Linked DNA regions of Arabidopsis thaliana. The protein of the gene in region 3 purifies or fractionates together with the protein of the main gene of each other region. This does not show direct contact. Each region holds a gene or a part of one and is shown on either strand. Other genes may lie near its edges. The genes, in order: IMD1, GSA2 and AT5G65620.

What was found.
Region 1: the proteins of AT5G65620 (region 3) and IMD1 fractionate together in Arabidopsis thaliana (co-fractionation; one large-scale study listed by BioGRID). This does not show direct contact.
Region 2: the proteins of AT5G65620 (region 3) and GSA2 fractionate together in Arabidopsis thaliana (co-fractionation; one large-scale study listed by BioGRID). This does not show direct contact.

Annotation. Positions count from the first base shown.
Region 1 is NC_003076.8:4,574,306-4,578,058, forward strand, and holds the start of IMD1 (isopropylmalate dehydrogenase 1), read left to right. Parts: upstream 1-1,817; 5' UTR 1,818-1,914; coding exon 1,915-2,143; intron 2,144-2,230; coding exon 2,231-2,360; intron 2,361-2,440; coding exon 2,441-2,552; intron 2,553-2,636; coding exon 2,637-2,801; intron 2,802-2,878; coding exon 2,879-2,965; intron 2,966-3,043; coding exon 3,044-3,160; coding exon of another isoform or gene 3,161-3,162; intron 3,163-3,249; coding exon 3,250-3,357; intron 3,358-3,438; coding exon 3,439-3,645; coding exon of another isoform or gene 3,646-3,657; exon of another isoform or gene 3,658-3,731; coding exon 3,732-3,753. Other genes in the region: MPL1 (Myzus persicae-induced lipase 1), read right to left, coding at 1-108. UniProt on the Arabidopsis thaliana protein: Involved in both glucosinolate and leucine biosynthesis; catalyzes the oxidative decarboxylation step in both leucine biosynthesis (primary metabolism) and methionine chain elongation of glucosinolates (specialized metabolism).
Region 2 is NC_003074.8:18,047,648-18,051,400, reverse strand, and holds the start of GSA2 (glutamate-1-semialdehyde 2,1-aminomutase 2), read right to left. Parts: upstream 1,831-3,753; 5' UTR 1,705-1,830; coding exon 1,528-1,704; intron 1,270-1,527; coding exon 1,096-1,269; intron 1,019-1,095; coding exon 374-1,018; intron 274-373; coding exon 1-273. Other genes in the region: DCF (HXXXD-type acyl-transferase family protein), read right to left, coding at 2,106-2,966. UniProt on the Arabidopsis thaliana protein: Transaminase converting glutamate 1-semialdehyde (GSA) to 5-aminolevulinate (ALA). Involved in the biosynthesis of tetrapyrroles.
Region 3 is NC_003076.8:26,219,829-26,223,581, reverse strand, and holds the start of AT5G65620 (Zincin-like metalloproteases family protein), read right to left. Parts: upstream 1,754-3,753; 5' UTR 1,674-1,753; coding exon 1,248-1,673; intron 1,162-1,247; coding exon 994-1,161; intron 900-993; coding exon 776-899; intron 701-775; coding exon 624-700; intron 534-623; coding exon 390-533; intron 296-389; coding exon 65-295; intron 1-64. Other genes in the region: AT5G65613 (uncharacterized protein), read left to right, coding at 2,597-2,938; AT5G65610 (uncharacterized protein), read right to left, coding at 2,554-2,732, 2,821-2,985, 3,230-3,286, 3,647-3,753. UniProt on the Arabidopsis thaliana protein: Oligopeptidase degrading short peptides from 8 to 23 amino acid residues. Plays a role in the degradation of transit peptides and of peptides derived from other proteolytic events. Does not exhibit a strict cleavage pattern. Binds salicylic acid.

The DNA.
Region 1 (3,753 bases), about 22 Mb from region 3:
GCCGAAGGTTCCACGAGCTTCAAGGGTCTTGAGGGAAAGAGCGAAGAAGATTAAGACAGATAAGGCTAAACCGATTGAAACGGACGGAACCATAACCGAACCGGCCATTGAGATATATATAGGGGTTATCACGTACGTTTATAGGAAAGTGAAAATGGTTTTATATAGAGAGAAGGGGTGACGGATAAGATAATAGAAAATGGAATTATTAGCTATTTATAAAAATGCAAAACCACGTTAGCAACTATGGATAGACAAAAACTTATTTAGAAAAAAAAACAATTTATGGTGTGTAAACATAAATTAAGAATTGAATCATGCACAAAAAATAAGACAAGCATTTATGAATAGTTTCTAGAAGTGGTGAATCATCCACTGCTATCGTCGATACAACATTTACTAAAGTTTCTATATATAAGTGGAGGGATGATCAGTGTGACCATGCCATGATTTCTAACTTTTTTGAGAGAGCGAGGTTATTATGATAAACATTTAAAATAATACGTGGAACTGAGATGAATGGAAAATAATCTTTATAAAAGAGAAAAAAAAAAATAGAAGATCTCATGATAATAAAAGTACTTCCATATGTTTTCAATGTGAAGAAAAGAATAGTAAAGGAGATACATCCAATAGCTTAGTCTAGAAAAGAGCTGACTAATTTTTTTTAAAAACAAGATCTCTGGTTTGTATATTTGTATCGATTACACAGCCTAGATATATAAAACACAAAACTTGATGGAGACAATTTCATATCCTATATATACACATTAATTTAATGAGTGAATAGTAATAGCAACTAGCAAGGCAATCTAAACAAAATTAAGAAAAGAAAAATGTTAAATTCCTGAGATCTATAATAACTCATAAGCAAAAAATATATTTAAAAAAATCATACAAATGTTGTAATAATATCATTTTGTTTTAATGTGGAGTGATAAAAAGAAGATAGGACGAAAGAAGAAACTGTTAAAGGCGATTGTAGATGCTGTAGGGACGGATAAATGGACTATGACATCAGTTTCCGTTACTTGTTTCTTCTCGAACTCAAAGAAGAAAGAAAAAAAAAAAAAAAATTCTACATCGGTACGCTTTCGTTTCACACCCTGCATGCACACAGTGTCCGGTAGTCAAAAATACAAAAAAAAGAAAAAAAACCTCGAGACATGCTAAATTTGGATAATGATTAATAATTTGGGGGTACACAATGTTCCAAATAATTTATATACAAAGTCTTGCTTTCATATTATTTGTGTGTCCACACTTCAACAATATAGTATTATACTATTATCCCTATCCCCTATGAAGTATGAACACACTTTTTATGATACGTATCATATTCAGAAAACATCAAAAATTGGTCATAACTCTCACGTGGTGTGGTGGATTTGCCTCGCCTTTCGTTTCTGTTTTTTGCAAATATTTAAGAATCTTTGGTCATTTAGGCTTTAATTTAGTTACTTTAAATTTATTTTTGTTATAGAAGTATTATGTTAAAAACAGTTCGTGTTCATCCTTGGACTAACCAGACGATTTGACAAAATCCGAATATCCGATCATAAAATTAAATAATCAGCCGTTATTGTTCCTCTACTACTACGTTTTAACTTTTAAGAACTTCTCCTGGTACTTTGATGGGCTATAAGAGCGGCCCAATATTTCGACTTTAAAATGGGCCAATCTTTGGTAAAGGCCCAATTATAGTGGCGCTTCTTCTTCTTCTTTTCCTAAACAAGCAATGGCATGGTTTAGCTGGTGAGCCAGTTTATAGGTAAAAAGGATAATTTAAGCCATTTAAAAAAACAAATCTTTAATGGCGTAATTCAAAAAACGTGCACACCTATCTAAGTACCAAACTCTTTATGTTATATAACTATTGTGACACAATTTCAAATTTGCTAACTCCCAAAAAAAATGGCGGCGTTTTTGCAAACGAACATCAGTCTGAATGCGATCAAGATCGTCCCGGGGAAATACAGTTCTCTCACCGATCATCAGTTTCGTGCGCCGTATCGAATTAGGTGCGCCGCCGCTTCACCTGGGAAAAAACGGTATAACATCGCTCTGCTTCCCGGAGACGGTATCGGTCCAGAAGTTATCTCTGTTGCTAAGAATGTGCTTCAGAAAGCTGGATCTCTCGAAGGTTCTTTCTCTTTCTCAATGGTTTTTGGAAACAACGAGTGTGTTTGCTTAGCCAGTAGATGATTGTGTCTTTGCTTTTGTATCACAGGACTGGAGTTTGATTTCAAGGAGATGCCTGTCGGAGGAGCAGCCTTGGATTTGGTTGGAGTTCCATTGCCGGAGGAAACTTTCACGGCTGCAAAACTATCTGATGCCATTCTTCTTGGAGCTATTGGAGGGTATGTGTGTGAGTGCTGTTTCTTTAGCAATCTGCTTCCAAATTTATTCTGATCTTGAGGTTTGGATGATTATTGTTCAGGTACAAATGGGACAAGAATGAGAAACATCTGAGACCTGAGATGGCTCTGTTTTACCTTAGAAGAGATCTCAAAGTCTTTGCTAATTTGAGACCTGCTACAGTTTTGCCACAGGTATCTTCGGTTTTGATTTGCTTAGCACTTGAATTTTGCTTCTAGTTGTAAATAAACTCAAATGTTTCTGTTTTGCTTGTTCAGCTAGTTGATGCTTCCACACTGAAGAAAGAAGTAGCAGAAGGTGTTGATATGATGATTGTTAGGGAGCTCACAGGAGGTATTTACTTTGGAGAGCCAAGAGGCATTACGATCAATGAAAATGGCGAAGAAGTCGGCGTTAGTACAGAGATCTACGCTGCTCACGAGGTAATAACCCTTCACACTGTGCTCTGTGACAATATTGGCAATGTATGGATATTAATGCATTGATTTATGTTCTTCAGATTGACAGAATTGCTCGTGTAGCATTCGAGACTGCTAGGAAAAGGCGTGGCAAACTTTGTTCTGTTGACAAAGCCAATGTGTTGGATGTACGTTCTGTTAGTTCACTGAATTGTTTTTCCACTTTTGTGTGTTTTACGAAATGCAAATTTCTTTGTTTCATGTAGGCATCAATATTGTGGAGGAAAAGAGTAACAGCTTTAGCCTCTGAATATCCAGATGTTGAACTATCACATATGTATGTCGATAATGCTGCAATGCAGCTTATTCGTGACCCGAAACAGGTGCTTCTCGCACATATATCAAACTTAGTCGTTGATTAAGCTAACTCAGAAGTGGAACTAGTACTCACGGTGTTTTTAAAACAATGCAGTTTGACACAATCGTTACCAATAACATTTTTGGTGATATATTGTCTGATGAAGCTTCAATGATCACTGGAAGCATTGGAATGCTTCCATCTGCTAGTCTCGGTGAATCGGTAAACAAAATTAACTAACATCTTTCAAGGCTCCTCCTGTTTATAAACTAATGCGAAATGTTAAACTTGTGATGAAATCAGGGACCTGGACTCTTTGAACCTATACATGGTTCAGCACCAGATATAGCTGGACAAGACAAGGCAAACCCATTGGCCACCATTCTCAGCGCGGCGATGCTTCTGAAGTATGGACTTGGAGAAGAAAAGGCTGCAAAGAGGATTGAAGACGCTGTCGTGGATGCTCTGAACAAAGGGTTCAGAACCGGAGACATCTACTCCCCTGGAAATGTATGTGCATGATGATTCTTATCATTTGTTTTGTACAAGTTCGTAACAAAATACTTAAAAAAGTCTTTTGTGTTTTGAAAATGCAGAAACTGGTGGGATGCAAGGAAA
Region 2 (3,753 bases), on a different chromosome or scaffold from region 3:
CTCTGTATCACTCTTCTTTGCATCCGAGAAATCATAGACGGGTCCTTCCGTGAAGAAGAAACCGAACATCCCGCTTATGTAACCGCCACACATCGCATGCCCGGTTTTCTTCCCGGCTTCTAGTATCCCATTTGTAAGCTCTTTTGTGATCTTGTCTAAGTATTCATATGTCCCTGGCTGACTTAACCGCTTCAGCGTGTGTATACCCGCTGTCATAGCCAACGGATTACCACTTAGCGTACCAGCTTGATACATCGGTCCTGCGGGTGCAACCTGCAAAAAGACATGAGTGATAAAGGATCAGGACTTTCTCAATCTCTTGCAGCAAATTCAAAAGATTATTCGGTTCAATTGTTAACAACTCTAGCTTTACCATTTCCATGATGTCTCTTCTTCCACCGTATGCTCCCACAGGAAGACCACCACCGATGATTTTCCCAAGAGTTGTTAAGTCAGGTGTGATTCCAAAGTATTCTTGAGCTCCACCATAGGCTAAACGAAAACCAGTCATGACTTCATCGAAAATAAGAAGAGCACCATTGTCTTTAGTGATCCGGCGTATTCCCTCAATGAACTCTGGTTTAGGTGTAATAAAACCCGAGTTACCAACAACAGGTTCAAGAATGATGGCAGCAATCTCTCCTTTGTTTGCCTCAAAAAGCTTCTCAACAGCAGCAATATCATTGTATGGAGCTGTTAAAGTATCTGAAGTAGCTGCTTTGGGGACCCCAGGCGAGTCAGGTAGACCCAAAGTAGCTACACCACTACCTGCTTTGACAAGGAAAGAGTTTGCATGACCATGATAACAACCTTCAAACTTGATGAACTTTTGTTTCCCTGTGAAGGCACGAGCAAGACGTAGCACACCCATACATGCCTCTGTACCGGAGTTAACAAACCGAACCATTTCAATACTTGGAACAGCTGAAATCACCATCTCAGCAAGAACATTCTCTAAGAGACAAGGAGCACCAAAGCTTGTTCCTTTCTTCATTGTCTCAGCCAAAGCAGCAAGAACCTGCACTAGACACATCACCGTATCAACTACTAAACTTTCAGCTATCTAAAAATCATCAAAACTGGAAAGAAACAAACCTCATCATCAGCATGACCAATTATAGCAGGTCCCCAAGATCCAACATAGTCAATGTATTCATTTCCATCAATGTCTCTTATTCGTGAGCCCTTTGCAGAATCCATCACCACTGGTTGTCCACCAACAGATTTGAAAGCACGTACAGGTGAGTTCACACCTCCAGGCATTAAGTTCTACACAAAGGAACCAAACCAATTTCAATAATCAGAACAGAATGAAACCAATAAAAACAAAAACTTTATCTCAGATTATGATTCTATCTCAAGTAATCTTATTTTGTTAGCAATGTTCCTTGAAGGGTAACAAAGATAATCACTTTAACCAAAAATATGATCAAATCCCACAAAACCAAAGCAACAGAACATCAAGGCGTAATCAATCTGAAGAAACATTTCTTATTGACTGAATTCATGGAAATTGAAAAGCCTAACCTTCGCAGCATTGAAAGCTTCCTCAGATTTCTGAAGAGTGAATTTCTTCGTCTTCTCCTCTACCGAAACCGACATCTTGATGCAGCGACGGTTGGACGACGAAGAAGCTCTCTTAGAGAACTTTGCGGAGCACGAAAACCCTAGAGCAATCCCTGATCCAGTAAGCGTCGCAGCCATTTTGCTATATCTCTACGTTTCTCTGTTACTCTCTCACTTGCGCTCGTAAGTAGTACAGAGATAGTCAACAAGATAAGGCGGAGATGATCTTCAGATTTTAGATGGAGCCGACCCGGTGGTTTAAATTCAGACCCGATCCGGTTTGATTTTACTGGAATCTGAAACTCAAGTCAATATTTGTTTGTTTGACTTTGTTAACCAATCCGGTTTCTTTGACCCGATCCGGTCCGATAACTTAATTTGACATATATATATTTTCTGCGAATTACATAAATTTTTGTAATGGATACAAACGTGAATTCAAATATAACATGTATAAATAATGACTAGATTATAATTTTCCTTTGCTTATAATTTGGTAGAATATATCATAATTTGATTATGAAAATGTATGTTCTTTTTCAGATCTTCATAAGCTCTTCAAACACTTCCATAGCTGAAGTAGGAAGGCCAAGAAACACATTGATACTCTTCATATCATCACCACTTGGTAAGAACAAGATCACTTCCCTCCCTGGTAAACCAACCGGTCCAGAGAAAACCGGTTCTCCCCAACCGAAATCCAGTTTATGCAATGTCAATTTTGACCAGGATGTAATCAAAAGTGTCGCGTTCATACTCGGCCGTGTCCGGTTCACCTCGAAGTAGTCCATAGCCGACCGCATGAAGCCGTCCGTAACCAGCTCCACCAGTCTCTTGACCAAACCCACCGAGTGAGAAAGAGGGTTCCCAACTAATTCTCCCGATGATGTCACCAAACCGGTTAACACAATCCCGTTCCCGCAATATCCTTGCGGGAGACGTGGGATGAATCTTGACCGTCCATCCGCCGCAAACAGAAGCTTAACCCGTTGGTCCGGTTTAAACCGTAGAGCTTCGCATCTTGATTTCCAAAGAAACCCGGTTAAGGCTTGAAATGTTGATACCTTATTATTGTTATTTTCTTCAATCGCCATGATCTTGAGCTTCTCAAGCTTTTCGGGTTCGAAAAGAAATGATTTGTAGATGAGTTTTTCTTCATCGTAGATTTTTCCGGTGTCGGAAATATCTTCAATTTCGTCGAATTCATTGTGTGGGAACTCGATTTTGGGAGGGTTTCGTGACCGGAGAATCGTACGGTCCAAGAATGGTGGGACGGATAAAGGAAGACCCTTGGCCATCTCGCACCACGAGTTGAGGAACTCCGCAGCGGCGACTCCATCGAACATGTTGTGGCTCATGCCTAGTCCTAGGACAAAACCCCCACATTTGAAATTTGTCACCTGAAAAAAAAAACGGAACATAAAACTTTATCTAAAGATGTTAAAAAAAATCCATGCAACATTTTAGAATGAATCGATACCAATTTAAAGAAATAGGAATGAAATAATATACATTTAACTTAAGTACTACCTATTGGTTACACACACAAAAAAAAAAAACTTACTATTGATCGTCGTTATTTCTTTTGGTTACTTAACAATACTAATTACGCATGGTTCTAATTAGATGGTCTAATGTACCTTAAAGTTTGAACATGATGACCACTCTAGTTTTTAAGAGTAACGTCTGATCATTTGTTACTATATTAGTGTGTGTTCGTTACTACATGCATGAGACATAAAAATGATTTTTTTAGTAACATTGTATCATAATTCATAAATGATATTCGGGAAAAATGTCTTTCAAATTTGGGACGATTTAATTTTGAACTTCACGGAAGATAAATAAATCGTAAAGTTTTTGTTGACTTTCGAAATAAATGACAAAGTGTTTGTTGACTTGCCATTTGAGTCATGTCGTTAAATAGGTTAACAGAAAAAATTTACGGCGTTAATGTCTCGTTTATTTGCTCTGTTAGAACAAAACAACGTCGTTTATTGCAGAGACAAAACATCGTCGTTTTGTCTTGAAACAAATTTAAACCCTAAATCCCCAAATCGATTTCATTATCTCAAAATCACAGACCCACCTTGACCTCAAAATCGCAGATAATAAATCGATTTGGGGATTTAGGGTTTAAATTTGTTTCAACAAACAAAACGACGTTCCTTTGTCTCTGCAATAAAC
Region 3 (3,753 bases):
AGAAAGTCGCATTAAGCCAATTAGAAAGAAAAAAGAACAGTTTTACTTAGGTTGATGACTCTACCTCAGCGTAATTGTTGTAACCAAGAAGCTTAGCTTTTTCCAAGCGAAGCTTCAAAATCTGGTCAATAATTGCCGTATTATCCAAATCGCCAGAAGAGGCACGAGATAGGTAAGCACGGTAGACTTCCTCACGCAGAGCACGGTTTTTAGCATGTTGCATGACAGGAAGATAACTAGGAGCATCCAGTGTAATGATCCATGGTCCATTCTCAGCAGTTGCATTTTCATGGCCCTAGTGTCACATATCAAGAAGCAAAAATTAACAAACCTTACTAAAAAAATAACGAAACATGGAACTTTATATATCTTTCAGTTAATATTGATACCTTGGAGACAGCTGCTTGTGCGAATAGCCCAAGAGCAGATGGAGGCAATCCCTCGATCTCTTTCTTGTCTGTTATCAACTTTTCAAATTTCTTTGTTGCATCCAAAACATTCTCAGAAAACTTATGGGAAAGTTTTTCGAGTTCCTACAATCAAGAAAAAAACAGCGCGTAAGCATAAGCAAAGTTGTGACAAACATAGAACCAATTTACCAAGTAAACTGATTTACATCAAACCTGTTCAATTTTATTAAACTCTTCTCTCTTTTCATCATCAAGAGCAATACCAATGAGAACCGCCTCCTTTATTTGAGCTGAAATTCATACTGAAACCAAAGTTATCACATGAAAGAAACGTTGTTTTAATGTTCCAATAAGAAACTACTTGCCTTCTACTAAGCGTTGACGAGCTTCACTGAGCGATGACCAATCAGGAGATTCACGAATAGCTTTAAAGGCATTGTAAATAGGCTTGCTTTGCCCCAACCTGAGCTGGAACTTCACTTTCTCTGGCTGCATAAGACCAATGTAGTTAAGTAAAACAAGATATAAATCCCCCAACTCACTGAACTAACACACAAAAAACAAGCATGATTAGTTATTCAACCTGAACGTCTTCGATGGCAGCACGTAGCTCAGGTGTGTCCTTGACAGCCTTAAGGTGATTGATCATTCCCCAAACAACAGTTAACCGATCAACGATTTTCTCTAATGGTTCCACCAGTTTTGGCCATGTTGGCTCCACAGATTTCTCTAGCTCCTCCAATTCAGCTTCCTGAAAATCAATCAAAGAGGCTATAACAATCGAATCAAAAATACATGAATCTGTGAAGAAAAACGAAGAAGAAGGTGTGAACATACGAGATGCTGCAATAGAGCACGAATCCCAGGACGAACATGACTGGCATCAACGGAATCAAACGGAGGGAAATCGAAGTCCTGCAAGAGAGGATTCGAGGAAAGAGTCTCGTCGGAGACGACGGATTCCACGGCGGCAGCGGCGGCGGAAGACATGGACGGAGGAGAGGAGAAGGGGCGGAAAGAGGAGGAGGAGAGAGAGGTGGAAGTGGTGGATCTAGGAGGAGGGAGACAAAAAGAGAAAGAAGAAGACCAGATGGGGCAAGGATATGATTTACGAAAAGTTGAGGGACGAAAATGACAAGAAGAAGATGAGAAATATTTGGGTTTTGGCGATCGACGAAGAAGATTGAGAGAGGCTCGAGACGTTGGAGTCGCCATTAACATGTTTGCTATTACAAGCGTTGCCATTATTCTTATTCTCTTCATTTTTATTTTTATTTTTTCTTATTTTCTTTGAGATTTTTTGGGTTTGGATTTGACTAAGTGTGACTACATGCGATTATGTTGTGAGGTTCCAAAGTCGATGATATGTTAATCGATGTGCCAAAGGGTAATCTTGTCAAGTCAAATTGAAATTAAAACATCTGTTTACGAATATATTTATTGTTTTTGAAATAGTTAACAAAAGCTGGAATAGCTCAGTTGGTTAGAGCGTGTGGCTGTTAACCACAAGGTCGGAGGTTCGACCCCTCCTTCTAGCGTTTTTTAACTCTTCTTTTTCGTCCTTTTTCTTTTACCGAAAACTGTTATGAAGTAATGGGCCTCACAAGTTCACGAGTCACGGATACATAATAAATAACTTGTTCGAAGAGAGCATCCCAAGAACAAACACGACACGTTCAAGATATAGTGTGATAGTGAAGTAGCTCTGTGTGTTGTTCCCCAAATACTACGACCACGTAATCTGGCAAGTCTGATCCCTTGTTCACTAAACCAAATATGTTTTAACTTTACGCTTCTTTTAAAAACAAAAGAAACAATGAAATTTATATCATTTGATGAAACCAAACAGGAGTTAAAACTAATAACTTCACATTGACATTGTACCACAATTTTACTACCAAATGAAGATAGGTAGGTACATTACAACCAAAAAATGTTGACTAATGACTAGTGAAAACTTCCAAGTTTCAATAAATGAATGCTTCCCATAAATGAGAAATTATGAGCTGCCAAAGAAAAAACGAGAATTATGATTGGACCGCTTAACCATAACCAGCCAAAATCTACATTATTTTCCAACTTTGCTTGGTAATTCATTTATTGTTAGCTCTAACTCTTTCGTCGATTATAAACCCCATATTTCTCACTCAATCAATAAAACAATCTCTCTTTTATTTTTGCAAGAAATGGATAGAGTTCTCGCCGACAACCGTAGACAATCGTACTCCACCGGTCGATGCTTGAGTTCGCCGTTATCTTGTCTCATCCATACAGAAGAAACAGAGTACGCTCGAATCAGTAACCACAACAACAAGACAAGACCTAGTCCGAAGTTAAGGGATTTGATGAGAAGATTATTATTGGTTAGAAGTTGCGGATTGGAGAATAATAAATCGAAAACGTTAGTTACGTTTCACTACGATGCTGTGAGCTATTCGCAGAATTTCGATGATGGTTTCTATCTGCGCGATGCCGATGATGATCCTAAGCTTTTTAGAGATCTTCCAAAACAGAGTCCGGATCACTGATCTATGCTCTGTTTTTTCAATTTTATTTTTGTATGCACCCCTAAGTTCTGTGTATTACAAATGTTCCCTATCGTGTACTTTTATTTATTTAAGTATATACCCCAATAGTTTTGGTTTATAACATGTGTACCCTATGTTTTTTTCTACACTCTACAGTTTTGTTGGTTTCGTTTTCTTTTAGCATTTGTTTAGACCTTCTTAGCTTGAGAAAAATTCAATCATGTTTCCATGTTGCACTTTAACATCTCTGGTACCAAATAGGCGTAATTGAATCGAACAATGCTCTTATACTTGTGGTTAGTGTTGGTTCGTCTACGTTATGCTCTCGTAAAGTTACTATATGGGATCCTAAAACAGGGAGGTCCACATAGATTTAAAAGAATATTTAAACAAAGTTCAGTGCTAGTGATCTGTTGAATGGACTCTTAAAATAAACCCTCTTTTCTTGACCGTTGTTTAGTTTTTAAATTGTGTTATATTTGTGAGTGTAACGTTTGAAACAACCAACCAACCAACCAGAGGCTATTGCAAGTTTCCAAACCATGAATCTTTTGACGGTTTAGAAAAAGGGATTAAGGCAAAGAAATATGAGGACATCACTAAAAGAGTCTCATAGCATATCTTCCAAGAACAAGTTGTACATCTTTATGCATCAGAATCTTGTCTACTTAAAAGCTTATCTGTCTCTCTTCCTCCATCGCTACGAACCTCTATTTGATAATAACTTAATTAACTTGTTAATCTTGCCATTAACCACAAAATCATTAACCTTGTCTCTTTCCATCTCCCTCAAATCAAATTCAGCTCTAGCGACC